Sus scrofa: one gene and its partners. The protein of the gene in region 7 purifies or fractionates together with the protein of the main gene of each other region. This does not show direct contact. Links are inferred from orthologs where the notes say so. Each region holds a gene or a part of one and is shown on either strand. Other genes may lie near its edges.

What was found.
Region 1: the proteins of KPNA1 (region 7) and MAU2 purify together in Homo sapiens (affinity purification with mass spectrometry; 3 studies listed by BioGRID and IntAct, with this or other methods). This does not show direct contact. The link is inferred for Sus scrofa from reciprocal best matches to the Homo sapiens genes KPNA1 and MAU2.
Region 2: the proteins of KPNA1 (region 7) and CHD8 purify together in Homo sapiens (affinity purification with mass spectrometry; 6 studies listed by BioGRID and IntAct, with this or other methods). This does not show direct contact. The link is inferred for Sus scrofa from reciprocal best matches to the Homo sapiens genes KPNA1 and CHD8.
Region 3: the proteins of KPNA1 (region 7) and NCBP1 purify together in Homo sapiens (co-immunoprecipitation; 3 studies listed by BioGRID and IntAct, with this or other methods). This does not show direct contact. The link is inferred for Sus scrofa from reciprocal best matches to the Homo sapiens genes KPNA1 and NCBP1.
Region 4: the proteins of KPNA1 (region 7) and TRIM27 purify together in Homo sapiens (co-immunoprecipitation; 3 studies listed by BioGRID and IntAct, with this or other methods). This does not show direct contact. The link is inferred for Sus scrofa from reciprocal best matches to the Homo sapiens genes KPNA1 and TRIM27.
Region 5: the proteins of KPNA1 (region 7) and SLX4 purify together in Homo sapiens (co-immunoprecipitation; 3 studies listed by BioGRID and IntAct, with this or other methods). This does not show direct contact. The link is inferred for Sus scrofa from reciprocal best matches to the Homo sapiens genes KPNA1 and SLX4.
Region 6: the proteins of KPNA1 (region 7) and CDKN2AIP purify together in Homo sapiens (co-immunoprecipitation; 4 studies listed by BioGRID and IntAct, with this or other methods). This does not show direct contact. The link is inferred for Sus scrofa from reciprocal best matches to the Homo sapiens genes KPNA1 and CDKN2AIP.

What each region holds. Positions count from the first base shown.
Region 1 is NC_010444.4:58,539,749-58,543,248, forward strand, and holds part of MAU2 (MAU2 chromatid cohesion factor homolog), read right to left. Parts: intron 1,803-3,500; coding exon 1,712-1,802; intron 927-1,711; coding exon 799-926; intron 404-798; coding exon 329-403; 3' UTR 1-328. UniProt on the Homo sapiens protein: Plays an important role in the loading of the cohesin complex on to DNA. Forms a heterodimeric complex (also known as cohesin loading complex) with NIPBL/SCC2 which mediates the loading of the cohesin complex onto chromatin.
Region 2 is NC_010449.5:77,764,476-77,767,975, reverse strand, and holds part of CHD8 (chromodomain-helicase-DNA-binding protein 8), read right to left. Parts: intron 3,169-3,500; coding exon 2,958-3,168; intron 2,563-2,957; coding exon 2,367-2,562; intron 1,679-2,366; coding exon 1,511-1,678; intron 1,315-1,510; coding exon 1,135-1,314; intron 994-1,134; coding exon 883-993; intron 531-882; coding exon 334-530; intron 86-333; coding exon 1-85. UniProt on the Homo sapiens protein: ATP-dependent chromatin-remodeling factor, it slides nucleosomes along DNA; nucleosome sliding requires ATP. Acts as a transcription repressor by remodeling chromatin structure and recruiting histone H1 to target genes.
Region 3 is NC_010443.5:239,506,073-239,509,572, reverse strand, and holds part of NCBP1 (nuclear cap-binding protein subunit 1), read right to left. Parts: intron 2,979-3,500; coding exon 2,857-2,978; intron 1,409-2,856; coding exon 1,339-1,408; intron 616-1,338; coding exon 400-615; intron 1-399. UniProt on the Homo sapiens protein: Component of the cap-binding complex (CBC), which binds cotranscriptionally to the 5'-cap of pre-mRNAs and is involved in various processes such as pre-mRNA splicing, translation regulation, nonsense-mediated mRNA decay, RNA-mediated gene silencing (RNAi) by microRNAs (miRNAs) and mRNA export.
Region 4 is NW_018084804.1:149,269-152,768, reverse strand, and holds part of TRIM27 (zinc finger protein RFP), read right to left. Parts: intron 1,101-3,500; coding exon 985-1,100; intron 863-984; coding exon 830-862; intron 1-829. UniProt on the Homo sapiens protein: E3 ubiquitin-protein ligase that mediates ubiquitination of various substrates and thereby plays a role in diffent processes including proliferation, innate immunity, apoptosis, immune response or autophagy.
Region 5 is NC_010445.4:38,660,404-38,663,903, reverse strand, and holds part of SLX4 (structure-specific endonuclease subunit SLX4), read right to left. Parts: intron 2,731-3,500; coding exon 2,584-2,730; intron 1,951-2,583; coding exon 1,781-1,950; intron 938-1,780; coding exon 1-937. UniProt on the Homo sapiens protein: Regulatory subunit that interacts with and increases the activity of different structure-specific endonucleases.
Region 6 is NC_010457.5:44,884,286-44,888,421, forward strand, and holds the start of CDKN2AIP (CDKN2A-interacting protein), read left to right. Parts: upstream 1-1,336; 5' UTR 1,337-2,510; coding exon 2,511-2,782; intron 2,783-3,255; coding exon 3,256-3,386; intron 3,387-4,089; coding exon 4,090-4,136. UniProt on the Homo sapiens protein: Regulates DNA damage response in a dose-dependent manner through a number of signaling pathways involved in cell proliferation, apoptosis and senescence.
Region 7 is NC_010455.5:138,043,784-138,047,882, reverse strand, and holds the start of KPNA1 (importin subunit alpha-5), read right to left. Parts: upstream 2,801-4,099; 5' UTR 2,796-2,800; coding exon 2,667-2,795; intron 1-2,666. UniProt on the Homo sapiens protein: Functions in nuclear protein import as an adapter protein for nuclear receptor KPNB1. Binds specifically and directly to substrates containing either a simple or bipartite NLS motif.

The DNA of each region.
Region 1 (3,500 bases), on a different chromosome or scaffold from region 7:
TGACTCAGACGTGGAAGTAGGACTGGCAGTTCAAGTCCATTTTGAAGGATGGCTCTGGAAAGTCGGCTCCAACATCCCACATGCAAGCCTCAGCACACAGGCTCCTGGTACTCGGCAAGAATGGCCAGCCGGCCTTTCCTGGGAGGATGAGAATCAGCCCTCCACACTCCCCAGGGACTTGGAAGCTCTGGAGACAGTTGGGAAAGAAGCCTGGGGACGGCCACACCAGCACACCTCCAAGGAAAGCTCAAGTGCCGTCTCGGTGCAAGTCGGGAACACACCAGGCCCCATGGAGCCCCGAGAAGCTGAGTGGCCCCTTCCAGGGGCCTCACAAGAGGCTGGCCAGGCTGGTATTGGGTCCATTCTGAGCTTGGAACTGCAAAGGAGGCGGGCCGTCTGTCCACTGCAGGGGGAAAGGACACACAAGTGAGGTCCTTCCTAGAGAGGAGCAGGAGTGTGCTGGGCTGCACTCCTGCGCCTGGAATGCTGCCCTCTTCAGGTTAGTCACCAGCCAGGGCCCTCCATCTTCCACCCCGAATCAGATGGGCCTCCAGGAAGCAGCCTACATCACCCGCTTGGGTGACAGGTGCCATCCTGCCCATCCAAGGAGGCTCCTGAGGCTAGGCTGAGTTAGGGACTGTTGGAGAGGTACAAGGAGAGGGCAGCCAAGTGTGCACTTCCCTCCTCAGGAAGCATGCTCTCCCTGCCAGGGCACTGGGGAACACTATAGGCCAGGTGAGCTGGCCCCGAGGAGCAAACCAGCACCCTTGTTTTGTCCTCCCCACTCTGTGCTCGTACCGTGATGAGGTTGTGTTCGGGGAGGCTGCAGGCTTCAATGTGGTCCTGGAGCAGCTGCTGTGAGAAGTTCTGGTGCATCTGGGCGGCTTCATGGGCATCCATGGCATTCCCGCAGGCCTTGTTCAGGTCTGAAGGTGGCATACGTGCACAGGATGGGCCTGCTTTGGCCTGCCACTGCCCCCAGACCCTCCCCTCGGGTGTGGGTGGAGCCCTAAAGTCACACCCCAGCTCCACCAGTGGGTTCCTGTGTGCCTAGCACATCACTTGCCCTGAGCCCTATTTCAGGGTCAGCAAAGCCCACTTGCCAGAAGCCCTCACACACGTTCCATATCCTTGAAGGTGAATGAGCAGCAAGGCCCACAGGGGCTGAGAGAAGGGCTGGTAGGGAAGTGAGAGCCCTTGGGGCTCTCTGTGGATGCTGGCCCAGTCAGGGCACCCAGGAGCTCACTGGGAACAGGGCATCTCACTGAGGCAGAAAGACTGAACAGATGTACAAAGTCCATCGCAGTTGGGAGCAGTATGTGCTCTACCTCCTCCCCAGGGCCCTGGGTGAGTCTATGGACATCAGTTTCAAAATCTGTAAATGGGAGAGTAGAAGTAACACCACTGACACCTGCTGAGTGCCCTTCCGGTGCCCACAGCACCCTGGCTGGTCCTGCCTGAAAAGGCTGACTGCCATTCCCATTCATGGGAAAGAAACTGAGGCCAAGCATCAGGAGTCCCAGAGACAGAATCGGACTCTGTGTTGATCTCACTACATGAATGAGCCCACTGCCCTCAAACAGGGTCTTCTGAGAAGACTGAGAATGTGCCAGAACTGGGATTATGGTCTGCAGAGGCCTAGTCTAAAGCAGAGGCTGAGAAGGGCTTAACCAGCATCTTCTAAGCCCAGAAGCCCTGATTTCTTACTCACCTCTTAGCAAGGCTGATGACCACAGCTGCACTGACATGTCTGGGATCTTGCTGGCCAGTTGCATGGCGGGCACCACCATGTTGTTACTCTCCTGTCAATGAAGAGCAGCAAAAGAATTGAGGTGGGGGGGGTGCCTGTGGCTGATGGTAGGGACAGCTTGGGTCACACCTGTGACCTCCTCCTAATGCCCGGCAAATTCCTACACCTACCTCAGAGCCTATCTTGGATAATTTTTTGTCTTTTTTTTTTTTTTTTAGGGTCACACCTGAGGCACATGGAAGTTGCCAGGCTAGGGGTCAAACTGGAGCTGTAGCTGCTGGCCTACACTATAGCCACGGCAATGCCAGATCTGAATCGTGTCTGCTACCTACACCACAGCTCATGGCAACGCCAGATCCTTAACCCACTGAGCAAGGCCAGGGACTGATCCCACATCCTCATGGATACTAGTCGGGTTTGTTACCACTGAGCCATGATGGGAACTCTGAGCCTATCTTAAATGACCCTCTCTGAACTACTCCTTGACCACCTTGGGGAAAAATGAAACGTCTCCACTCCTTGGCTTGGCATATGCCCTCCTCACTGGGGCACAGTCAGGGGCAACTCTATGTGCCTTTGTCTTTCTAACAAGAGAAAAAGGACTGGCAGCAGTTAGCTCTGGACCCTTATCAGGAACTGATTAGAAATACAGATTCAGGAGTCCTCAGGCTGGGAAGAGGCAGCAGTCTGTCTTGGTGGGGACAACGAGGGTTGAATGGACAAAAGAGAGAGGAAGAGAAGTTTCTGTTATAGATATGAGCCCGCTCTTGTGGGAGGCCACCTTGTGCACAAAGGGCTGTGGGGCATCAAAACACATTAACCCTCCAACTCTGATTCCACCATGTGATTCCAACAGCGCCACCCTCCCAATCCCCAGTATGAGCTGAGTGAGAGCCACTGGGGGCTGTAAACATCCATCCTTGACCCTGCAGTGACCAGGAGCACTGCTCTGACTCCACCCAGCCCAAGGACCTCAAGCCTGCTGGCCTAAGTGTTGGGTTCAGGGTGACAATGGGAGAACTTCCTACGGGGCAACCCATTGCAGCCTGAGGAACTCTTGGCATGTAGCCCAGAGACATATAAAGCTTCAAAACCAATTCCTGAGGCCCGCGTTCAAAGCAGCCACGGCTGAACGGGGTATGCCTCCAAAGAGACACTAAAGCCCAATGACTTTATGCTGCCCTATGGCCAGCACCTCAAAGATGAGCTCTAGGTGGGTCTCAAAACTTTTCGAGGAGTTCCCATTGTGGCTCAGCAGGAATGAACCCCGACTAGTATCCATGAGGGTTTGGGTTTGAGCCCTGACCTCGCTCAGTGGGTTAAGGATCTGGTATTGCCATGAGCTGTGGTGTGGGCTGCCCACTGGCTTAGATTCCATGCTGCTGTGGTGTGGCATAGGCCGGCAGCTACAGTTCCCATTCAAGCCCCCAGTCTGGTAACCTCCATATGCCACAAGTGCAGCCCTAAAAAGAAAGAAAGAAAAAAAAAAACTTTTCAAAATTGAACCAAGCTCTTCTAAGATTTCAGAATGCATGGCAGAACAGGAAAAACTACTCTCATCCTATAAGCCTAGGCTGGGCCTCTGGAAGCTGCTGAGAGGGAGTTCCCTTTGGCTCAGGCCTCCTCGTGACAGCTTGGGGGCCACCCACAGAACCTGGTTTTGAAGACTGGTATGATCCTGAGAGGTGTTCTGCATGAGGCCTCCTGCAAACTCGCAATGCCCACGAATGCTCTGGCCCTAGCAGATTTA
Region 2 (3,500 bases), on a different chromosome or scaffold from region 7:
GGCCCGGCAAATTGTTTCCACATCTCTTTCAGTCATACGTCGCTTGAAGCGTCCATGAGACAGAATATCTCGCCACCGTCCCCAACTAGAAAAAACAAAGAAAGAAATCACATTGATATTTTCCTGAGGACTTTCTAATTATGTGATACTCCCCAGTCCCTCAGAATCACATCTCCCAAAAGGTGGGAGAGAAAAAGATCTTGGGGAAACATGGTAATAGAATAAAGTTTTCCCCATTATCCCCTCTGTGACCCTAACTTCCAATCTGAAAAGGAAACAGGGTGTCTATCAGGATGGAGATGCACTATTTCTCATGGAAAGGTGGGTTCTTACCCATACACCAGGAGGTGCTTTTCCACCCGAAAGCAGTCAGTGCGCCCATAAGTATGATGACGGTCATGTCGGCGAGAGCGTGGTCGCTCATCATCTTCACTTTCCAAATCAGAGAATTCCACTAGGTCATCATCTTTCAGAGTGCTGAAGTGGCGGGTCTGTTTTCGTACTCTAGGTGTGTCAATCACCAAGTTATTCTATGCAGAGAACAGAAGGAGAAGTAACTCTCTTCACAATACACTCATGGGAGAGGAATTAGACAATCAGATTGAAATAGCTTTGGATGTAACATTTGTAGATACGCAGAGGTAGCTTTTTTTTGGGGGGGGGGGCATACAAAATAATCTACGGGAGGAACCTTGGAAACAAAATTAAGTGGCAGTTATCTAAGTGGTTTCCTGGGGCCTCCTATGTAGAAAGTTTTTACAATGGCCCTTGTATATACCATCATAAACCAAGGTCAGCACTGAAGAATCGGCGTAGGTATAAAGACTCCTGAAAGTAATGTGTTTTCTGCATACTTCCTCCCTAAAGGAAAAGGAAGCTCACCTTACTATTAAGTAGATCCATGTCCAGGTCAGCCTTCTTGGCCCATTTTTGCCAAAAGTTGGGGTCATCCAGAGAAATATCTGTTCTATTTTCCGAAGCAACAAAGCTTGCCTAGTGAGGAACAAAGAAACAGGAAAGTTGACTATAATACTTGTTTGAGTAATGTGAAATGCGTATATTTAAAATATATATTAAATTTCAGAGATTCCTCTCTATCTCTGCTTCTTTAGCCTCTAGCCCAACAAAACATACCTTGGCAAAGGTAGAACCCTTTCCTTCAGATTCAATGGTGATGGTAGTGGTTCGTCTTAGCAAGATCTGGTCAATGTCCTCTTCACAAAACTTGGAGCCCTCATCATCTTCCTCCATTATGGCTGCATACGCTCCTTTTCGTAAGAGATCTTCAATCTCCTTCTTGGAAAACTGCTGGATCTACAAAATCCCATAAAAAGATGAAGAGACTTCAAGGGACTATTATCTAAACCACCTCGGGATATTTTATTATATTTTAAGAATTAGTAATTGAGAACCCAAACAAGGAGTCAGGTTTCTATACAAAAATAGCTTTTGCCATCTTCTATCACTATGATCTGCTATAAATAAATGTATCTATAGATTAAAGACTCACTCCAGTAATGTTGCCATCCCGACCACTCATGGACTGAAGTACAGCTTTATCCAATCCCAACTTGAGGCTAGCCTTATCAAACATCTCTCTCTCATAAGAATTACGAGTGATGAGACGGTACACCTTCACAGCTTTGCTCTGCCCAATTCGATGACACCGTGCTTGGGCCTGGTTTTTAAAAGTGGAAGGAAGGGCAAAGATAACATAAAATTAGTCAGGGGGAGAAGAAGGATTCAAAATACCAATTTACATCTATTAAGCATCCATGAGATCAACTCAAAATCAAAGGTCAACTTCAAGATGAAATCACTGCTCCATCATGTAGATGAGGGGTCAGTAAACCCTGGTCACCTGTTTTAATTAAGCTTTGCTGGAACAGGGAGTTCCTGTCGTGGTTCAGCAGTTAACAAACCCAACTAGGCATCCTTGAGGACACGGTTCAATCCCTGGCTTTGATCAGTGGGTTAAAGAACCGGCATTGCCGTGGCTGTGGTGTAGGCCAGCAGCTATAGCTCTGATTGGACCCCTAGCCTGGGAACCTCCATATGCCGTGGGTGAGACCCTAAAAGACAAAATAAAAAAAGTTTTGCTGGAACATACTTCTATCCATTTATTTATATATTGTCTATGGCTGCTTCTGTGGTTCAAGGACATAGAGGAATAGTTACAACAGAGACTGTCTGGTCTGCAAATCCCGAAACATATACTATGTAGTCCTTTACAGAAAAAGTTTGGTGACCTACCTGACTAAATAATTCCATATTTCCTAAAAGACAAGTCTTTCTAAGAAATCCTGATCCTGTTGCAAAACCTCCCAGGTTAAGTAATTAATCCCTAAGACAATGATTTCCTTTACCTGCAGATCATTTTGTGGATTCCAGTCTGAATCAAAGATAATGCAAGTATCTGCAGCTGTGAGATTAATGCCAAGTCCACCGGCCCGGGTGCATAGCAAAAAGACAAATCGGTCTGAGTCAGGCTTACTAAAGCGATCAATAGCAGCCTGCCGAAGGTTGCCTCTAACTCGTCCATCAATACGCTCATATAAGTACCTGTATGGGAATCACAGGAAAAAAGTTTAACCAGCTAAGTAGAAAAAAAGAACAAAAGAGCAGACTGGGATCAATACCATTACCTCTACATCTCTAGTTCACCAAAAACCTTACCAGAAAGTTAAGAGTGACAGTCTTAACACTGCTTTTATCTTGGTCCTGATCAACTTTAACTAAACCCAAGCCTTCCTACTCTTTGCAGCCTTTTTTCTTTCTTTCTTTCTTTTTTTTTGGCCATGCCCAGAGCATGCAGAAGTTCCTGGGCCAGGGATCGAACCCGAGCCACAGCAGTAACAATGCTGGATCCTTAACCCATTCAGCCACCAGGGAACTCCTCTTGGCAGCTTTTTCATGAGTATATAATCAGCACAGGCGAGGAATGATTCTTTTCTCACCTCCTTTGGATAAGATAATCCTCTAGGATATCTAGGCAGCGTACCATCTGGGAGAAGATCAGAACCTTATGGCCACCAGCTTTAAGTTTGGGAAGTAACTTGTCAATAAGAACCAATTTGCCAGCTGAACGAACCATGGCCTGCAAGTGGAAGTCATGAGGTATGATATGGCAAGCTTCTCGAAATTCTGTTAGGATTTTTTCTTCTGCACCTGCCAAAAAAAAAAAAAAAAAAAAAAAAAATCGCACTTGATGGTGAGATCCAGGGAAACATATCAAGGCTGCAATTTAACTGAAACAAGGAAGCAAGGAAAAAAAAGGTAATCTGACTTGATATCAGTTATTTCTCACACACAGATCTTCAGCATCATCCCCTCAATTCTAAATCATCCCCAATTTTGTAAATACAAAATATTCCACGTTAAGTCAGGCTTAAGATTGTAACTGCGTAAAACATACAGATAAGGACTAGAATAGTAGGTGCAAATCACTACTACCACCCTACTGGCATCTAAAACCAAAACAGCAAAATGAAGTACCAGTG
Region 3 (3,500 bases), on a different chromosome or scaffold from region 7:
CATTTTGTGTGTGTTAATAATTTAATCCTCATTACAACTTTATGCTATTATTATTTCTTTAGGAAAGTAAGGCTAGAGAGGCAAATAATTCACCCAAGATGACACAGCTAGGATCTGACTAAATCAGGATTAAAACCCAAACCAATCTGGCTCTCAAACCTACACTCTTCAATTACATGCTGTGCTGTCTCTTAATTTACACAGGATAAATATGATTTCTTACATAATGAGGTAACACCATTCACAAAATTAGACTGTTAACTTCACTGCCACTGACTCTCTTAGATAATAAACAACTCAAAATTAAAATGTCCAACCAGCATAATTCAAACAAGATTAAACCACAAGTACAAACAACACAGGCCCTTTGAGAGGTACTTCTGCTGGTCATGTATGTACCTCAGGATCGTCTGTGTAATCAAACATCCTGAAGATGACCCTTGGCATCGGGTACACGGAGTCTTCAGTGTGAGGAGGTGGAGTGAAAGGAGGCAGGTTGTGCTGCAGTGCTTCACACAGAATGCTGTCAAAGGCAAGATAAGGTCTTAGGATGTGTCGCTCCTGCCAGCGATCCTTTTTCAATTTCTGAATCTGGGCCCACAGGCAATCTAAATACTAAAGACAGATTATTTTTAATAATTAATAGATATTTGAAGGCTAGATGAAATCATATTTTGACTAGACAAAACCAAAAATCAACTATTTTCTAAAATACAGGAAACAAAAGGAAGCTAACTTACAGTTAAACATAGTACAAAGAAACAGTGCTAAGTTTCTGTGGTTTTTTTTTTGGCTTTTTAGGGCCGCACCTGCAACATATGGAGGTTCCCAGGCTAACAGTCCAATGGGAGCTGTAGCTGCCAGCCTACACCACAGCCACGGAAATGCAGGATCTGAGCCGCGTCTGTGACCTACACCACAGCTCACGGCAACGATGGATCCTTAACCCACTGAGCAAGGCCAGGGATCGAACTCACAACCTCAAGGTTCCTAGTCGGATTTGTTTCCACTGCACCATGAAGGGAACTCCTAAGTTTCTGTTTTTACTTCAATTACTTTGTAAAGACTGGGGCTGTTACACTTATTTTTTCAAATTGGGCATTCTAACAAAAAATACATCAATTCTATGATATCTGGAATCCCCAGAATAGGGACTGTTAATGACATTCTAGATTTATTAAAAATCCACTATCTGCATATGGCTATGAGGAGCTGAACCCTTGATATGAAATGTGAAAACGTAGCCAAGGTTTCACAAGTGGAAGGACTCGAACATGTCACAGATATTAGAATCTACTCCAACTGTGCTTGTATCATAAGAAACTGAAAACAATTTACCTCTTCTTGTGGATGTGGTTTCTCAGCAGTCCATACCTGTAACATGGGCACATGAGTCTTTTGGCGTCTTCTAAAGATAAAAATGAAAATCTACATTTAGGTTTTTAAAAACATGAAAAGATGTTCAGTTGTTTTCACAATTAATAAAATTCAAATTAAAGGAGTGAAACACTTTAACCTATCAGATTGGCAGATATCAGAATCTTTGATAATGTATTATATTGCCAAAATGTAGGCAAATACAAAGTTTCAAAAACTCAAAAACATTGCTGGTAGAGGGATAATTGATATAATCTCTTAGAAGAGATGTGGAAGAGTCTAATCTCTTTGGAAGGCAATTTGACTACATCTATCAACATTAATATAGTTAAGACACTTCAACCCAGCAATGCCATTTCTAACAACACACATGCCCCACAAACATATGTGCACAAAGACACAGGTACAAGGATACTCACTGAAAACACTGTTTACAATAAGGAAAGACTTGCATAGGCCCCAAAGTCTACCAACAGGAGACAAGTTAAAGAAATTATGGTACATTAAAAGAGGGGAATACTGGAGTTCCTGTTGTGGCTCAGCAGGTTAAGAATCTGACATAGTATCCATGAGAATATGGGTTCAATCCCCAGCCTTGCTCAGTGGGTTAAGGATCCAGCGTTGCCACAAGCGAGGTGTAGGTTGCAAATGTGGCTTGGATCCGATTTGGCTGTGGCTTAGGTCTGCAACTGCAGCTCTGATCTGACCCCTACCCTGGGAACTTCCATGAGAAGCAGGTGTGGTCATAGAAAGGAAAAAAGGCGGGGGGGGGGGGAGTGTAATACTATACAGCTGTTAAAAAGAAGGAGGTAGAACTATATACTTTTATGCGACAAATCCAAACTACACTGGTGTGGGGGAGTACCAAATGTGTACAGAAGAAAAAAAGCAAGTGTGTACACCATATCATTTGTATAAAAAGGGGGAAGGACTTCTTCAAACATTAGGATATTCATACTCTTATTTTCATTCTTTTGCAAACATCTAGATATTATTTTTAAAAAGTAAAACTTTTTTTTTAAAGGCTGCACCTGTGGCATATGGAAGTTCCCAGGCTAGGGGTTGAATCAAAGCTACAGCTGCCAGCCTACGCCACAGCAACGTGGGATCTGAGCTCTATCTGTGACCTACGCTATAGCTCATGGCAATGCCAGATCCTTAACCCACTGAACAAGGCCAGGTATTGAACCCGCATTCTCATGGATACTAGTTGGGTTCTTAAACCACTGAGCCACAACGGGAACTCCTAAAAAAGTAAAATTTAAAAAAATATAAAACATTGAAAAAATCATTTAAAGTTAACAATGTAATGAGAAAGCACATTTTTAACTTTAGACTTACTTTAGCTTTATTTATAACTAAGTAGATATTAACAATACCCAAAGAAGTATCTATTAACAGAAAATGAAACTTGCAATCAAATTATTCTGAAAAAACTTAAGGGGACACAAAACCACTATCATGCTGCTGTGTTCTTACTTGAGATAGCTTTCAGTGTTGGCAAAGATGCGGTCCATCTCGGCATCTTTCTTTTCATACAACTCCTTTCCAACCCAGGGTAAGGACGACAGAAAGGCATACACGTACCAATCCCGCCGCACCTAAAGAATATTTAAAATAGGTACAAGTGAATTTTCATACATAGTATATCTATTCTTCAATGAAATCCTATGGACACTAATTAAAAGGGCTTAAAGAAAATATCTGGCTCATTCAGAGTATTTTTAGATACCTTAGTTTTAATCTTACCAGAATGGATCATTTAACTAAAATACAGATGTCATGAGAACCCACCATTAAGCCAGCTGACCTAATTTTTAGATATTAAGTTTTTTTGCTATAGGTGCAGCATGTGGAAGTTCCCAGGCTAAGGGTCGAATCAGAGCTGCAGCTGCCGGCCTACACCACAGCTCATGGCAACTTCAGATCCTCAACCCACCAAGTGAGGCCAGGGATGGAATCTGAATCCTCATGGATGCTAGTGGGGTTTGTTTCCGCTAAGCCACAATGGGAACTCCTAGATGTTAAGAATTTATAATGTGATAACCTGCCGTGAATCTTTTGGGTTTTTTTAATTACTAAAGGGTGAAAAATTCGTGGTACTGTATGGATAAGATTCCATA
Region 4 (3,500 bases), on a different chromosome or scaffold from region 7:
AAGAGCATGTATCTGAAAAGATACAATGCAAATAAAGTCTTAGCCTACATAGCAAATTACCAGAGATTATGGGGATTTGTAGTAAGTAAAAAAAAAAGTTCACCTACATATAAAGATTTAACATTCTACCAAACTGCCTAGGAATTTTAGCATTTAGTATATAGGCATATGTGCTATATGCTCATATGTGATCATGAGCAGAAAACTTTGTTTGGAAGATCATCCCTTAAATACCAAGAACACTTTATTTAATAAACATTAAGTGTAGGGTTTATTACAGGTTAGGCTCCATTCTAAAAGGCTTTAGAAATGGTATCTAATTTAACTTAATCCTTAAAACCTTGTGAGGAAAGAGCTATTATCTTCCTCATTTTACAGAGGAGGAAATTAAGAGTATAGAATCCTCAAGTGGCAGAGCTGAGCCCAGGACCCAGGCAGCCCAATTCCTGAATCCCTGTTCTCCCAACCGCTTCCCTGGAGGTATTGCCTCAATCAGCACTATAAATACCAGCTCAAATGAAATGTAGCTAGGATGGTTTCTGTTGATTCTCTTTCTCAATTAAAAGTAATTTTAAATAATCAAATTCTGGATTAATTATTGTTGGCCTATCTTCCTCCTCCATTAATATAAATGGAGAAATGAGTGCAGATAGCTAAATAATTTCAAATTGAAACCAGAGGCTATTATTGAAAAAATTAACAAAGCGAAAAGAGACGTAAAATGGCTGGCCAGTGGATGTCCCCCCTTCCCACTTTGCCACACTTCGTGCAGATGTTGTCTTCCCAGGAAGCGTCAACATCAAAAGCCCAGTTAAGTAGATAAATTTACCTTGGATTTTCTCCATATCTGATTGCATTTTTTCTAAGGGGAGAAAAGAAGATATTCAGTTTGCATCCCACTGTTTGGCTGGAAAATACATCCTCTCGGGCAAACCCTGAGAGCATAAACCCATTTCCCTTCATGGACTTCTCTTCTCATATTACCTGTGAACTGCTTCAGACTCTCAGTCAAGAACAGACATTTCTGGGCAAAAATGTGGATCTTCTCTTGCAGATCTGGAGGTGTGATCCAGGGCTCAGGGATCCTGATTCTTTCAGCCCTAAGGTTAAAGAACAAGAATGAATCCCTTGCCAACCTTCAAACTTTTCAGGGTCCAGGACAAGTCCTGGGTTAAACTGGTCAGTACAGGTGGACAGTCTTTAAAAATAGCCACTACTGGTGGGATTGTAAATTGGTGCAGCCACTGTGGAAAAGAGTATGGAGATTCCTCAGAAAACTAAACATAGAACTACCATTTGATCCAGCAATCCCACTTCTGGGCATCTATCTAGAGAAAACCACGACTCGCAAAGACACGTGTACTCCAATGTTCACTGCAGCACTATTTGCAATAGCCAAGACATGGAAACAACCTAAATGTCCATCGACAGAGGAGTGGATCAAGAAGATGTGGTACATATACACAATGGAATATTACTCAGCCATTAAAAGGAATGAAATACCGGCATTTTTAGCAACACGGATGAACCTAGAAATTATCATGCTAAGTGAAGTCAGCCATACAGTGAGACACCAACATCAAATGCTTTCATTGACATGTGGACTCTGAAAAAAGGAGAGATTGAACTTCTTTGCAGAACAGAGGCTGACTCATAGACATTGAAAAACTTATGGTCTCCGGAGGAGACAGTTTGGGGGGTGGGGGGATGTGCTTGGGTTATGGGATGGAAATCCTGTGAAAGTAGATTGTTATGATCATTATACAATTACAGATGTGATAAATTCATTTGACTAATAAAAATATATATATTAAAAAATTAAAAATAAATAAAAACAAAAATAGCCACTACAGCCTTTTTGCTATTCTCCTCCTAGGCTATAATCCTCTGGGCCAGAATAGGAGAAACATCTTACTTTTTCATATCCCCTACAGCACTAGCTCATGGCTTTTCAAGTGGCAGGTCCCAAAAAGGTTTACTGAATTTAAACCTAATATAAGCCTGACTTTGCCAGAAAGCACCAGGTTCCAGGAAAAAGTCCTTGATATCTGTGGCAGGCAATGATTCAGAAGCCTCAGGTCCCCAAATAGGGTGAGAATGATATCTACAGAGACAGAGGGTCTCTGGACAGTACCCAGTTACCCATCACCCCCCTCAAGGGGGTTTATGACTGATTGCTAACTGCCCACCCAATATCCATTCATCTTCCAAATTTTACTAGGTTCATGCCTATCCAGTCTAGATGTGACCTTGTGACCTTTTCTGGCCAATAAGAAGTAAGAAGTACCTTGCGGTAATTTGAGAAGTCTGCTTCAAAAGGAATATGATTTGCATTATCTCTTTCATGCTGGTTGGTACTCTAGCAATTACCTTGGATGCCAAGAATAAGGACCATACCTTGGATGCCAATAATGAGGACCAAGGTGGCAGAAGTTTAATTGAAAAGAAACCGAGAGTCTGATGATCATGGCGCCACCAAACCAGCCCTGGGCTACCTACTTGCACATTTCTTTTTTTTGTTGTTTTGGGGTTTTTTTTGTTTGTTTTGTTTGTTTTACTTGCACATTTCTTTAATGGTGATATTTCCTGTTACATTTAAGCCTAAGTCAATGAAAATTAGAGTTTTCTATCTCAAAGGAAAACTTAACTTCCAAAAAATGCTAGCATCTAAAGGAACTATCTCCCTGTTAGTTCAGAACCACTCTGCTTTCAAAAAGTAAAAGCAGCAAGTGAATGCAGTATTTGTTGAGGTCACTTGGCAGGAACTGGTACAAATTCCAGCTCATGACCATCCCACCCTAGGAGCCCTAAAAAATTTCACTTCTACCACAATTCTATCCACAGAGTCCTCCCAACCAACCTACCCCATCTGTGATCTCCTCCCATAAGCATCTCAATGTTTCCACATAACCAAGCTGCATTTCCCCAGCAGGGCTTTCACCTTTCAGAGGGTATCAATCAGCTTCAAACTTCAGTTCCTCGGTCTCTACCCCAGTAGGCACTCCTGCACCAAACATCACATCCCCAAGGCCTAGCCCATTTGTCTTTGCCCTCCGACCCTGAAAACACATTTAATCTTGGCTTCTTGCCCATCTGGGCTTTCCCTGACTGGCCATGTCTCAGCTCCCAGGCTGCTCTTCCTCACTTTCTGCCTGATGATAACATTAGAGAAACAATGAGAACAAGAGCCAGGATCTAGGTAACTCATTACTCACTATATTAACTCTGAGCTGGTCATACTTTTCTTAGACCATATTTTCCCCATCACAGAAAAAAGAGAGGCAGAGAAAAAGAAAGACAGAGATAATGAAAGAGAAAAGATTCTGAAATGCTTAGGAAACAAGAACTATAAAATACCCTGCACTTTGCCCAAGTCCCTGTCACAGTCTCCATGGAGGTGTCCTCATTCACCAACAGCACCCTCCAAATAAGCCCCCAACTCTACCCTCTCACCCCTCAAATTTATCAATAATTCCTGAGTTTTACTGCGAAGGGCTGCA
Region 5 (3,500 bases), on a different chromosome or scaffold from region 7:
CGGGGGGAGGCTTCTGACCCCGCTTGTCTTGGGTGGTGAGCTCGAGGAGGGCGCCCTGGGAGGTGTGCCCAGGAGCTGGGGTGCTGGCAGGCACAGGGCACTGGTGTGCAGAGGGTGTGGCCGATGGGGACTCCTGCCCCGAGGGGGCTGTGACGGGACGAAGTGTGAGCACAAAGGGGGTGCCTGCTGGTGGGCAGGGGGATGGGAACTGTCCACCCCCAGTTCCCAGACGGAGCCGTCTCCCTCCTGGCGATCGCTCGTCCTCCGGGATGGCTCAGGGCCGTCGGCGTGAGGGGAGGAAGACGGCTGCTCAGCAGCAGCAGCAGCAGCAGCAGCAGCAGCATCGACTGAGCACAGAGGGGTGCTGTCCCCCCTGTCTGCCTGGCCCTGGGCAGGGCCGGGGCAGTGGGAATGGCCCAGGCCTTCCTCTGGGGCCTCCGCGCTCTCCTCCCTGCCCACAGCCGGGTCCCTGAGAGGCAGGCGTGTGGCCTCTCTCACGTTCTTCCGTGGGGCTGGGGCCTCATCTCTTCCTTGCCCAGATGAAGCCATTTGTTCTGCGCTTTCTGACTCTTCTTTATCCTCAGTGCTCCCAAGGATTCCCGCAGAAGCAGGGGCTTCCTCCTGCAGCTGCTCAGCTTCTTCCTCCACCTCTGGAGCTTTCCCCGCTTGGAGCCGCGTTCGCTGAGTAGCTGCGAATTCATAGATTTCTTCCATCTCCTCCTCATTCACCTCTTCTGTGTCGTCTTCTTCGCAGCCCTCAGATTTCGACAGAGCCTCTGCTCCCTCCTCGCCCCGCCACATGGACCGCAGGAGTTCCCGGAAAGTCTCCCCTCTGCTCTCACAATCCCCTTCCTCCTGCTCCTTCCTCTGTTCGCCCCCAGAGTCCGGCCCCACAGGCACCTGTTCGCACAGGTGGACAAGCTCACTCACACCAAACCTGCAACAGGAAACGCACACGTCACCCCGCCTGCGCAGAGGTGGTGCCGGAGTCCTCATGGGGAGGGCAACCGTGACTCACCCAGCCTGGTGCCCGCTCCCCCACAGAGACGGTGCCTGTGTTCAGGCCCAGCAACGCCCCAGGCCACTCAGTTCTAGGAACAGACTTGTGAGCCTTTAAGGAGGGTGACTAACTGCTGCACAGGCCCCGCGTGGCTGGGGGAGGATCACAGGCAGGAGAGATGCGGCGGGACGGGACCCCCAAAGCACTGTGACTGAGCAGACGGGGCGGCCAGCCTGCCACCCGATCGACGGATCTGGGGTCTGATTGTACGTCTGAGGCCCCAGAGGCTGAGCCCCTCCTGCCCAAGGAGGTGCCTGAGGGATGAACACGGCTTCACCCCAGAGGCCCTTAAGCCCCGAGAGGAGTCGAAACACCTTTTCTCTGCTGAGCCACCTGCCACCCATCCTGAGATACTGGTGTGGACAAACTGGCAGGTGCAAATTCATGGGACTTAGACCAAGCATTTCCTCACTTCCGCTTTCTGCGGCTTGGGAAGGGGCAGCTATTCAGCTCTGGTGGCAAAACCACCCAGGAGCAAGAGCGTTTGGGGGCTGAGGCTGGGACCGCCCGCTCATCACACCCAGGAAGCTGAAGCCAGGACTCGCCTCTCCTGCTCTGGCCAGACTTCCAGTGAGTACACCCTGTTCAAGGTCACCACCAAGCCCACACTTGGCGTCAGAAGGGACAGGAAGGAGCCAGCCTTGACCCTCCCACGGGCCATCGACCAGAGGATCCCTGTCAGTTAATGTCAGAGCCATAAACGGAAAGAACAGTCCAGACCTGTGGGCCAGAGAGCTCAGGTCAGGGGCCAGCCACGGGGGCAGGGTGGCGTCCGCGGTGTAGAGGTAATGCAGGAACACGCAGGCGGCCTCAGTGCTGACGTCACTCAGCAGGACACGCTGGGCCCTCACGTCACCATCTTCTGAGGCGAAGAAGCCTTCACTGTTTACCTGAGGGAGAAACACACGCAGAAGTTGTCCTGACTGGACAGCCATGACCTGGGAGCCAGGACGGGCGTTCGCCTGTGCTGCTCCATTTTGCAGGATGCAGATTCTGCAGGTTAGGCCTCAAAACCTGTCTCCAAAATCAAATCAGTGACAGATGCTCCAGAACCCAGTGAGTCCCCTCTTGACAGATGCATCAAAGGCATGAGACCTTTCTGATGAGACTGACAGCAGTTTTCTGGATTCCTGCAACGTGATGTTTAAGTCAAATGAAAGATGGCACAGAAATGTTGCAGCAGCTCAGCCTTAGAGAGGCTGATTTAAAAACTTTACAATCATGCAAATGTTGTAAGGAAACAACTCTGGGGGGAAACAGTTTTATTCAGCGGAACAAGAAATCTGATGTCTCCCAATTCTGAGGTCCATCTGCGCATAGAGCTGCATGTCGTCTCCATGGAGGCATGGCCTGGATGGCAGCAGAGAAAGAAGCAGTGGGGGGCGGGGGAGGCTGAGATCAGGGGAGCTGAGGGGGCGGTAGGACGGGAGAGGCCAGGCAGAGAAGGGGCAGGGGGAGAGAGGGAGAGCGGGAGCGGGGAGAGGGGAGGAGGGGAGGGAGGGGCAGTCGGGCCACGCACTCACGTGCTGCATGAGAAGTGGGCATCGGGCATAAAGCACGAACTTGTGGGCATAAAGCACCTCGCCGCTGTCCGTCTGAAACTGGATGTCGCTCAGGTGTGGGTTGTTCACCATGGCACCAAAGTCAGCCACCAGCAAACCGAGGGAGAGCTGAAACAAGAGGAGAACCACTTCCATGTGCCGCCCGCCTAGCTGTGCAGGTGCCCAACTGAGGGTGTGCGGGCGGCAAGCCCTCGAGTTGCTCCCAAGGCCCGGCGTCAGCTCCACCTCTGAGAGGCTAAGCCTCAGAACGGCCAACCCTGTTCCCTCTCAAATTCTCTATCACGACGAGTTCCCTGGCCTAAACGGGAGGCCCAGCCGGCGGAGAGGCCTGGCACTGGCGACCTCATCAGAAGGGGGTGACAGCACTAGCGGCCGCTGAGTGCTTCGTGTGCCAGTCGGTGTGCAGGGTGACTACCGGCCCAGCTTGATGCTAACGCACGGCACCCGAGCCCATGCGGCCGTGGGGCCGGCCTCAAGCTCCCTGTCCCCTCCGTGACAGGTGCCACATCTCCAGGGAGACCTTGGTGAGAAGAGTGGCTGATGGTGATGGCCTAACAGGACGACATCCACTCGAGGGAGAACCTAGCTTCTGCTCCTCCGCCATGACACAGAACAGGGCGGTTGGCCGGAGGCGTGCAGGACTCGCCCTCGGGAGGGCACCTCAAGGCCTCAACGAGGGAACGGAGCATCCAGAGACAAGCGTGCGGGGCCACCGGCTGCAGGAGGTGCCCTCTCGGGGCAGGGGTGCGCCCCTGGGCCCCAGGACAGGGCAGGCTGCTGGGCCCGGGTACCAACGTGCCCCCAGAGTTCAATGACAAAAGGGACAAAGGCCTCATGGCAGAGCCCCGGGAATAGGAGGCTCCCGTGGGCATGCGCTT
Region 6 (4,136 bases), on a different chromosome or scaffold from region 7:
GTTCCTTTTTCTCCATACCCTCGCCAGCATTACTATTTGTAGATTTTTGGATAATGGCCATTCTGACCAGTGTGAGCTGATACCTGATTGTAGTTTTGATTTGCACTTCTCTCATTTCTCCTCTAAAGGCAACCCAAGCTGGCTCAGGGCACTAATGGGCTGTCTACTTCTAATGGTCCAGAGAGAGTCAACACTTCCCTACTCCTAATCGAAGCCACACCGCCCCACATTGATTTTCGAAAGTTCCCTTCTTTTTCTCTGAATCCTTACTCCCTCCAGTTCATTAAGTCTTTGTATGGTGAGAGGGCTTAAAAAAATTTTTTAGTCCAATATATAGTACTCTTCTTAACTTTGTGGTCCATGGTCTATGCCTTGAATCTTCATGTGCAAATTCAAACTTTTAAGGAAAAACAAAAACAAACAAAAAAACCAAAACATGTATCTTTTTGTCAAGTACCTGGCTTTTGCAAACGAGAAATAACTCCAGCTTTCTGACCATATTGCTTTTATTATAACTTTAACAATGGATTTTGAAATCCAGGCTCTATTTGCTCTCCCTGCAAGGCAATGAAGCCCCTGGGTGGAAGGCTACAAGACGAAAAGAAAAAAGTGAGAAAATTCTTGGTTTAAAATGTGCAAATATCATCCAGGTATGTAAGCACAGATTCTTTTACTTGCTCTTTCCCCCATGCCAAAGAATACATGAAAGGAAAACACCATGAAATTTCTCTAGTCTTTTAAATTGCCAGATTCCCACATATTTTCACCCCTCTAAAGCTTTAGGGAAATAGGAAAGAAGAGCAAAACTAGAAGCAAAATCCCAAGCTTCAACAGTTCTCTGTGCCTATGCCTTTTATGTCATTTCATTTGGCATGGCAGGAAAAGTGGGCACTATTGATTTCATTTACTAGCTGAATTTTGCTTATTCCAGTATGCATATAAATTACATGGCTTTTTCTTTCTTTTTGCTTGTTTGATTATTGTTTTTTGTTTGTTTGGTTGGTTTTTGTTTTTGTCTTTTTAGGGCGGCACCCAGGGCATATGTAAATTCCCAAGCTAGAGGTCTAATCAGAGCTACGGCTGCCAGCCACAGCCACGCCAGATCTGAGCCGTGTCTGCGACCTACACCAGTTCATGACAACTCCGAAAACTTAACCCACTCAGGGAGACCAGGGAGGGAACCCGCAACCTCATGGTTCCCAGTCGGATTCGTTAACCACTGAGCCATGACGGTAACTCCTATTCTAATTATTTTAAATTCAAAATCAACAAATATTTAGTGAAAGCAAATTTTATTATTTCGTAATTTATCATTATGTTATCACTTATCTTTTTATTAAATTTTATTAACCATAAAATACCCAAATGCCTAATATTATTGGAAATAATATTGGAAACAACAGGCAAGCCGGCAGTAATGATTTAAGTGTGGACACTCAAATATTTAAAAAATGCAAAAAAAAAAAAAAAAGAAAAAAGAAAGCTTTAAGAGGGGAAGATTTGAGGCGAAGAGACAAACGCACTTTCCCAAGTCGCCTCCTGACCATCGACCAGCGGGGCTACTGTTTGTTAATCTAAGGAGACACGACAGAGACTGCAGGTCCTTGGCGCAGCGTTTAAGTTACTGACTAAAACCCACCAGAGGGGAAGACGTACTGCCCGTGCTGAACTGCGTAAACCAAACCCAAGTCTGTAGGGCCAGGACTAGTTTTCAAAGACTGGGCTCCACAAGGCAACCCCGAACAGGATTAAATATTACCTTATTACCTTTATTATTAGTACAATTTAAGTTAATATGCGCCCGCACATTCCTGAATGCCCCGCGACCCGGACTGCCTCGGAAGGCCTCGCTTGTCTACACTTGTCTACAGAGCTGGAAGCCGTTTTCTGCATAATGGAAATTTGGAGCGAGTTTTGTTTACTCTGGCCCGCTCAAAATCGGCGTCTTACTGCCGAGACGCCCAGACCTCGCGTCCGGGCGGCGGCTAAAGTCCGGGAGGACGCGCCCCGCACGCGATAACTCGGCCCTCCCGGCGCGGGAGGGAGGCGGCCAGAGGGCGCGGCGTCACAAAGCCGACCGGAAACGAGGAGTCTTGGAGTCCAGACCGAGGGGGTCCCGGGCGACTCCACTGGCCGCGCGCCCTAGCGGGGCGGGAGGCGCACGCCCACCTCCCCTCGCCCCGCCTCCACTCCCCTCCCCTCCCCTGCGGCCGGGGCTGCAGCGCCGCGGCTGCTCGCGCGCCGCAAAGCGTCCTGGGAGAGCCGGATCACGCCGGAAGGACGCTTGGGCGCTCGGCGGCGGCGAGGTTATAAAAGGGAAGGAGCCGGCGGCGGGCGGAAGTGGGCGGTTCAGCTGCTCTCGGCTCTGTTGTTTGGTGTTTGGGCCTTCCGAGGGGCGTTCTCTGGATAGCCGCCGGTGCAGGCCTCAGTGACAGGGCCGCTCGCCCGCGCTCCCCGCCACCTTCTCGGTGCAGCATCCGCTCCTGGCCTCCGCGACCCTCAGGCCCAACATGGCGCAGGAGGTGTCGGAGTACCTGAGCCAGAACCCGCGGGTAGCCGCCTGGGTGGAGGCGCTGCGTTGCGACGGCGAGACCGACAAACACTGGCGCCACCGCCGGGAGTTCCTGCTCCGCAACGCCGGGGACCTGGCCCCCGCCGGCGGCGCTGCCTCCGCTCGTCCGGAGGAGGCCGCCGATGCGGAGAGCGGGACCCGAAATCGGCAGCTGCAGCAGCTTATCTCCTTTTCCATGGCTTGGGCCAACCACGTCTTCCTCGGGTGCCGGTGAGTGAGCAGGCTTCCCTGAGCAGCTCTCTTGGATTTGGCTTCTGCCCCGGCCTGGGGCCCGGAGCCCTAGGCGTGGAGGGGAAGCGGTGAAGCGCGGGAAGCTGCGGTGCCGTCTGCCCTCTAAGGGCGAGAAGGGCATCCCTCCCAGAAGCCGACATGATGAACCGTCTGGAGGTGCCCCCGTTGACTGGGGAGCTGCTGGTGGAGTTGCTGGCCTTGAGCTGACAAAGCTTTGAGGGGAGAGGGACGCTAAATTTAAACTAGGTTGGTAAGGATTGACCCCGCCTCCCAGACCCTGGCGCGTTTGTTTATGGGGTTCCAGGAAACAAAGTTCCTGGTGGTTGGGGCAGTTTCTTGATTACAACCAGGAAATGGCAGTTCCTGTGGCCTGTTTTTGTACCCCAGAGGTGGCAGCTTAGCAGAAACACTTTTTAAAGTGTCTCTCTCTCTCTCTCTTTTTTTTTTAACAGGTACCCTCAAAAAGTTATGGATAAAATTCTTAGTATGGCTGAAGGCATCAAAGTGACAGATGCTCCAATCCATACCACAAGAGACGAACTGGTTGCCAAGGTGAAGAAAAGAGGGATATCGAGTAGCAATGGTTAGCAGATCATAGATGTGAACATACATAGGAGTTTAGAACTTAAGTTTGATGTAATTAGGAATTACTGTTACTACTAATTTTTTAACGTTAGAATAACATTACATAATAAATAGAATAACAATTACATAATGCTATTAATCAAGTTGGAATGTTAAATTGTATGTGTGTTTTAGGCTCTGAATTTGATAGTTTCCTTTGTGTGAGATTGTAAAGTGTCGAGTGTTGTCTGTGCTGTTGATTTTTTAATATTAGAAATTGTTGATGTTATTCCCCACTGTTAAAAGAAATTAATGAATTTATTGTACACTTTTTAAACAATCTGCTAGTCCTGAAATATTTTCTCCTTGCACCTTTATTTTACTTGTGTGTGTGTGTGTGTTTTTAGGGCCGCACCCGTGACACATGGAGGTTCCCAGGCTAGGGGTTGAATGGGAACTACAACTGCCGACCACAGCCACAGCAACGCAGAATCTGACCTTTATCTGCGACCTACACCACAGCTCACAGCAACACTGGATCCTTAACCCACTGAGCAAGGCCAGGGATTGAACCTGAGTCTTCATGGATACTAGTCGGGTTGTTAACCACTGAGCCCTGATGGGAACTCCTTGTGCCTTTATTCTAATATGAGTACTTGTCTTGTAAATTTTTACCTGGTATGTGTGAGGTAAGGCTTAGTCACGTATCTTTTTCTTTTCAGAAGGGGTAGAAGAGCCAATGAAAAAACGAGCCATAGAAGGAAAAAGC
Region 7 (4,099 bases):
GCCCAAGCCTGTAATTTTTCCCGATAGATGACAGAGCAACTATGGGAAGATAAACAGTACCTAAATGAATCTGTATTTTACTGATGTTTACTATTTTACAAATTAGGCATGAAACAAGTACTGATGTGATATTAAGAAGCGTGATTTGTTTTTATGAGTTCTCCCTACATAAGATGGCATGTATGAAACAACAAAATTAAGATTTTATTTATTTATTTTTATTTTTTGTCTTTTTAGGGCCACATCTGCGACACATGGAGGTTCCCAGGCTAGAGGTCGAATTGGAGCTGTAGCCCCTGGCCCATACCACATTCACAGGAACTCCAGATCTGAGCCACATCTGCGACCTACACCACAGCTCAAGGCAATGCCAGATCCTTAACCCAATGAGCAAGTCCAGGGATCGAACCTGGATCCTCATGGATGCTAGTCAGATTCATTTCCTCTGAGCCATGACGGGAACTCCCAAAATTAAGTTTTTTGTTTTTGGGTTTGTTTTTATTTTTTTTGCTTTTTAGGGCCACACCCGAAGCATATGGAGGTTCCCAGGCTAGGGGTCGAATTGGAGCTACAGCTGCCAGCCTACACCACAGCCATGCCAGATCCGAGCCCCACCTGTGACCTACACCACAGCTCATGGCAACGCTGGATCCCTAACCCACTGAGCGAGGCCGGGGATCTAGTCCACAACCTCGTGGCTCCTAGTCGGATTCCTTTCTGTTGTGCCACAACGGGAACTCCTTTTTTTTTTTTGGAAGATTTTAAATAGAACAATATTCCAGAAACTTATCATAGAACTATCTTAAAGCACTAGCACAGTTTCAGATCACATACAATGAAGATGACAGAACTTCAACTATCAGTGTTTTATTAGTCAGATAAGTGGGGCTATACCTGTCACCTGATAAAGCATCTGCCTTAGAAGTGCCAGTTGTGGCTCATCAGTAACAAACCTGACTAGTTTCCATGAGGATGAGGGTTTGATCCCTGGCCTCGCTCAGTGGGTTAAGGATCTGGACTTGCCATGTCTAGCTTGCACACATGGCTCAGATCTGGCATTGCTGTGGCAGTGGTGCAGGCCAACAGCTGCAGCTCCAACTAGATCCCTAGCCTGGGAATTTCCACATGCCGTGGGTGCAGCCCTAAAAAAAAAAAGACAAAAAAAAAAAAAAAAAAAAAAACAAACCATGCCTTCAGGGAACTGAATATGAAAATTTTACTTTGTTTATATTATAATGAAGTCTAATAACACAAAATCCCCATCACCAAAAAGAAACAGTATAAAATGTACACTATTAATGGCAGAGTGCCATTACTACATCTTCAAATGGCTTCATGCCAAATATAAGTCATAGGCTACTGGTTATATTCAGACTTGTGCTTGGGTGTGTATACATGTATTCATATTTACATGCAAATATAAATATGTAACAGTACTGTTGTAATTTCTGAAACTTACCCCCAAAACAGAAGCTAAATAAACGCTCATCCAAAGAAAAGGTTCCACTTCAAATAAGACACATAGAGGAATAAAGAGGCAACAAGAAACCAAAAGAAACTAATCCTTTTATGAGCAAGTGGTTGCTTTCAAAGATCATAAAGCAGAATGTTAAAAACTCCTAACTTAATTTGCTGAAGTTAATACAAGCTGTATTACAATATTACAAACTCAGTCCCTACCCTCAAACAGTAAGAATGACATAGTGATTCAAACATTTGTAGCCTAAACAAAACACTGAGGTTGTAATGTACTCTTGGACTTCACATAACTGGATTATCTAGTGAACTACTCAAAACAACAGTGTATATATCGAGAATACCTCACTAAAAAATATTTTTTATCAGATTACCTTATTTCTCAGGTATGCCTTTTACAGAGCTTTTATAGTATGGGGGTCAAGTGGTCCTTCCAAGCTCAAGTCTTAGGAAAAAAAAGTCACCTAAGTATTCTATCTTTTAAATTTCTTTGCCAAAAGTGATGGATCACCTGTTCTATGAGTATTTTTAGAGTAAGGTCAAGTGAGAGTGAGTCTTAGGATCACTTGTAGATGTTCTCAGGTTTAAAATGATCAAAAATCCTTGCCCTGAATGTCTTTATACAGAATTGAGGAGTGAAAAGACTTAGTCCTTGAAATTTTGTTTAAAATACGTCATAATAAAAAAAGTAAAGATAGACACATGAATCAAATACAGCAAACTGTTGACAATTAAACCTCATAATGGGTTTAACCCAACCCAAAGGATGGGTTTATGAGGTTCATTATCTACTCTATATTTTTGTATATGTTTATAAACTTTCAAATTAAAATTCAGAATAAAAAGCAATAATTTATTGGCCACTTGAGAATTCATTAATATACATATACAATCCTTACAGAAGTTGTAACTTTAGAAAAATTTAACAGGCCAAAATACTAAACAGAGGTTATACTAGGAACATAATAACCTGAGAGATTTCTCCATTCTTATATCCTACCTTTCATTACCTACACTCTCCTACACCTAAAATAAAGGATTTTTGGTTTTATAGTGGGGGGAGGTAATATATGTATATATACACACACATATGTATTAAACATCATTAAAATTAAAACAAAGGTTTGCTGTCAGGATTAAAATGGAACATTATGTTAGTTCTGAGAAATTAATGAGGTTAAAGGACTTACCTGCTCTTCTCTTTTCTGCTTACGTAACTGTAGTCCTTCTTCCTCCCTTCTCCTGCGCATCTCATCAGGATTCAGGGACTTATTTTTATAACTTTTCAGGCGAAAGTTCTCTTTTCCTGGGGTAGTCATGATTTCTACAAAAATAAGAGAAAGGGAGGGAACAGAAGAACTTAGCTTAACATAAAGAGCTCTGTTACTTTAATAGCTCGCCTTTTTTCTTTTTTTTTTTCTGTCCCACAGCACAAGGAGGTTCCCAGGCTAGGGGTCGAATCAAAGATACAGCTGTTGGCCTACACCACAGCCAAAGCAACACAGGATCTGAGCCATGTCTGTGACCTACACCAGATCCATAGGTTCCCAGGCTAGAGGTCGAACTGGAGCTGTAGCCACTGGCCTATACCACATCCACAATTCCAGATCTGAGCCATGTCTGCAACCTACACCACAGCTCACCGCAATGCCGGATCCTTAACCCACTGAGCGAGGCCAGGGACCGAACCCGCATCCTCATGGATACTGGTCAGGTTCGTTTACCGCTGAGCCACGACAGGAACTCCAATACTTCAGCTTTTTAAACATACAGATATACGTGCCCAGATCCCCCACACTGGAATGTCAAATGATTACTTCAACAGCTTTATTAAAGTGTACCATTAGTATGTTCACAATTATGTGCAACCATCACCACAGTTAATTTTTTTAACATTTTCACCACCTCAAAAGTGATCACTCCTATTCTTGATATTTTATATGAATAGAATTATGTGTGATCTTTTGAGCCTGGCTTTCTTCCACTTAGCATAATATTTTCAAAGCTCAACTATGTTGCAGCATATATTAGTACTTTATTCCCTTTTTTGGCTGAATACTATCCCATCATACATACATACTCTATTATACTTACCAACTCATCAAATGATGGACATTTGGATGCTTTCCACTTTTTGGCTATTATAAATAGTGCTTCCATAAATACATGTGGACAAGTTTTTATGCAGAAATGTTTTCATTTCTCTTGGGTATATAATTTATATACATTGTTTAATCATTTCAAGAACTGCCAAACCTTTTCCAAAATGGCTTCACCATTTTACATTCCCAACAGAAGTGTACCAAGGTTTGCCAACCATATCCTCACCAATACCTGCTATTGAAACTTTTTTTTAATTGAAGTATATATAGTTGATTTACAATAATGTGTTAGTTTCAGGTGTATAGCACCTTAACATGAGATCAAAAGTATAACAACCTTGTGATTCTAGCCAGTCTAGATGGCTAGATGTCTTTTAAAATATTTATTTGCCAACTACATATCCTCCATAAAAAAAGTCTATTCAGATTCTTTAACCATTTTAAAACTGGGTTATGTCTTTTTTTTACCATTGAGCTGTATGAATTCTTTATGTATTCTGCCAAATCTACAATTTGTTAAT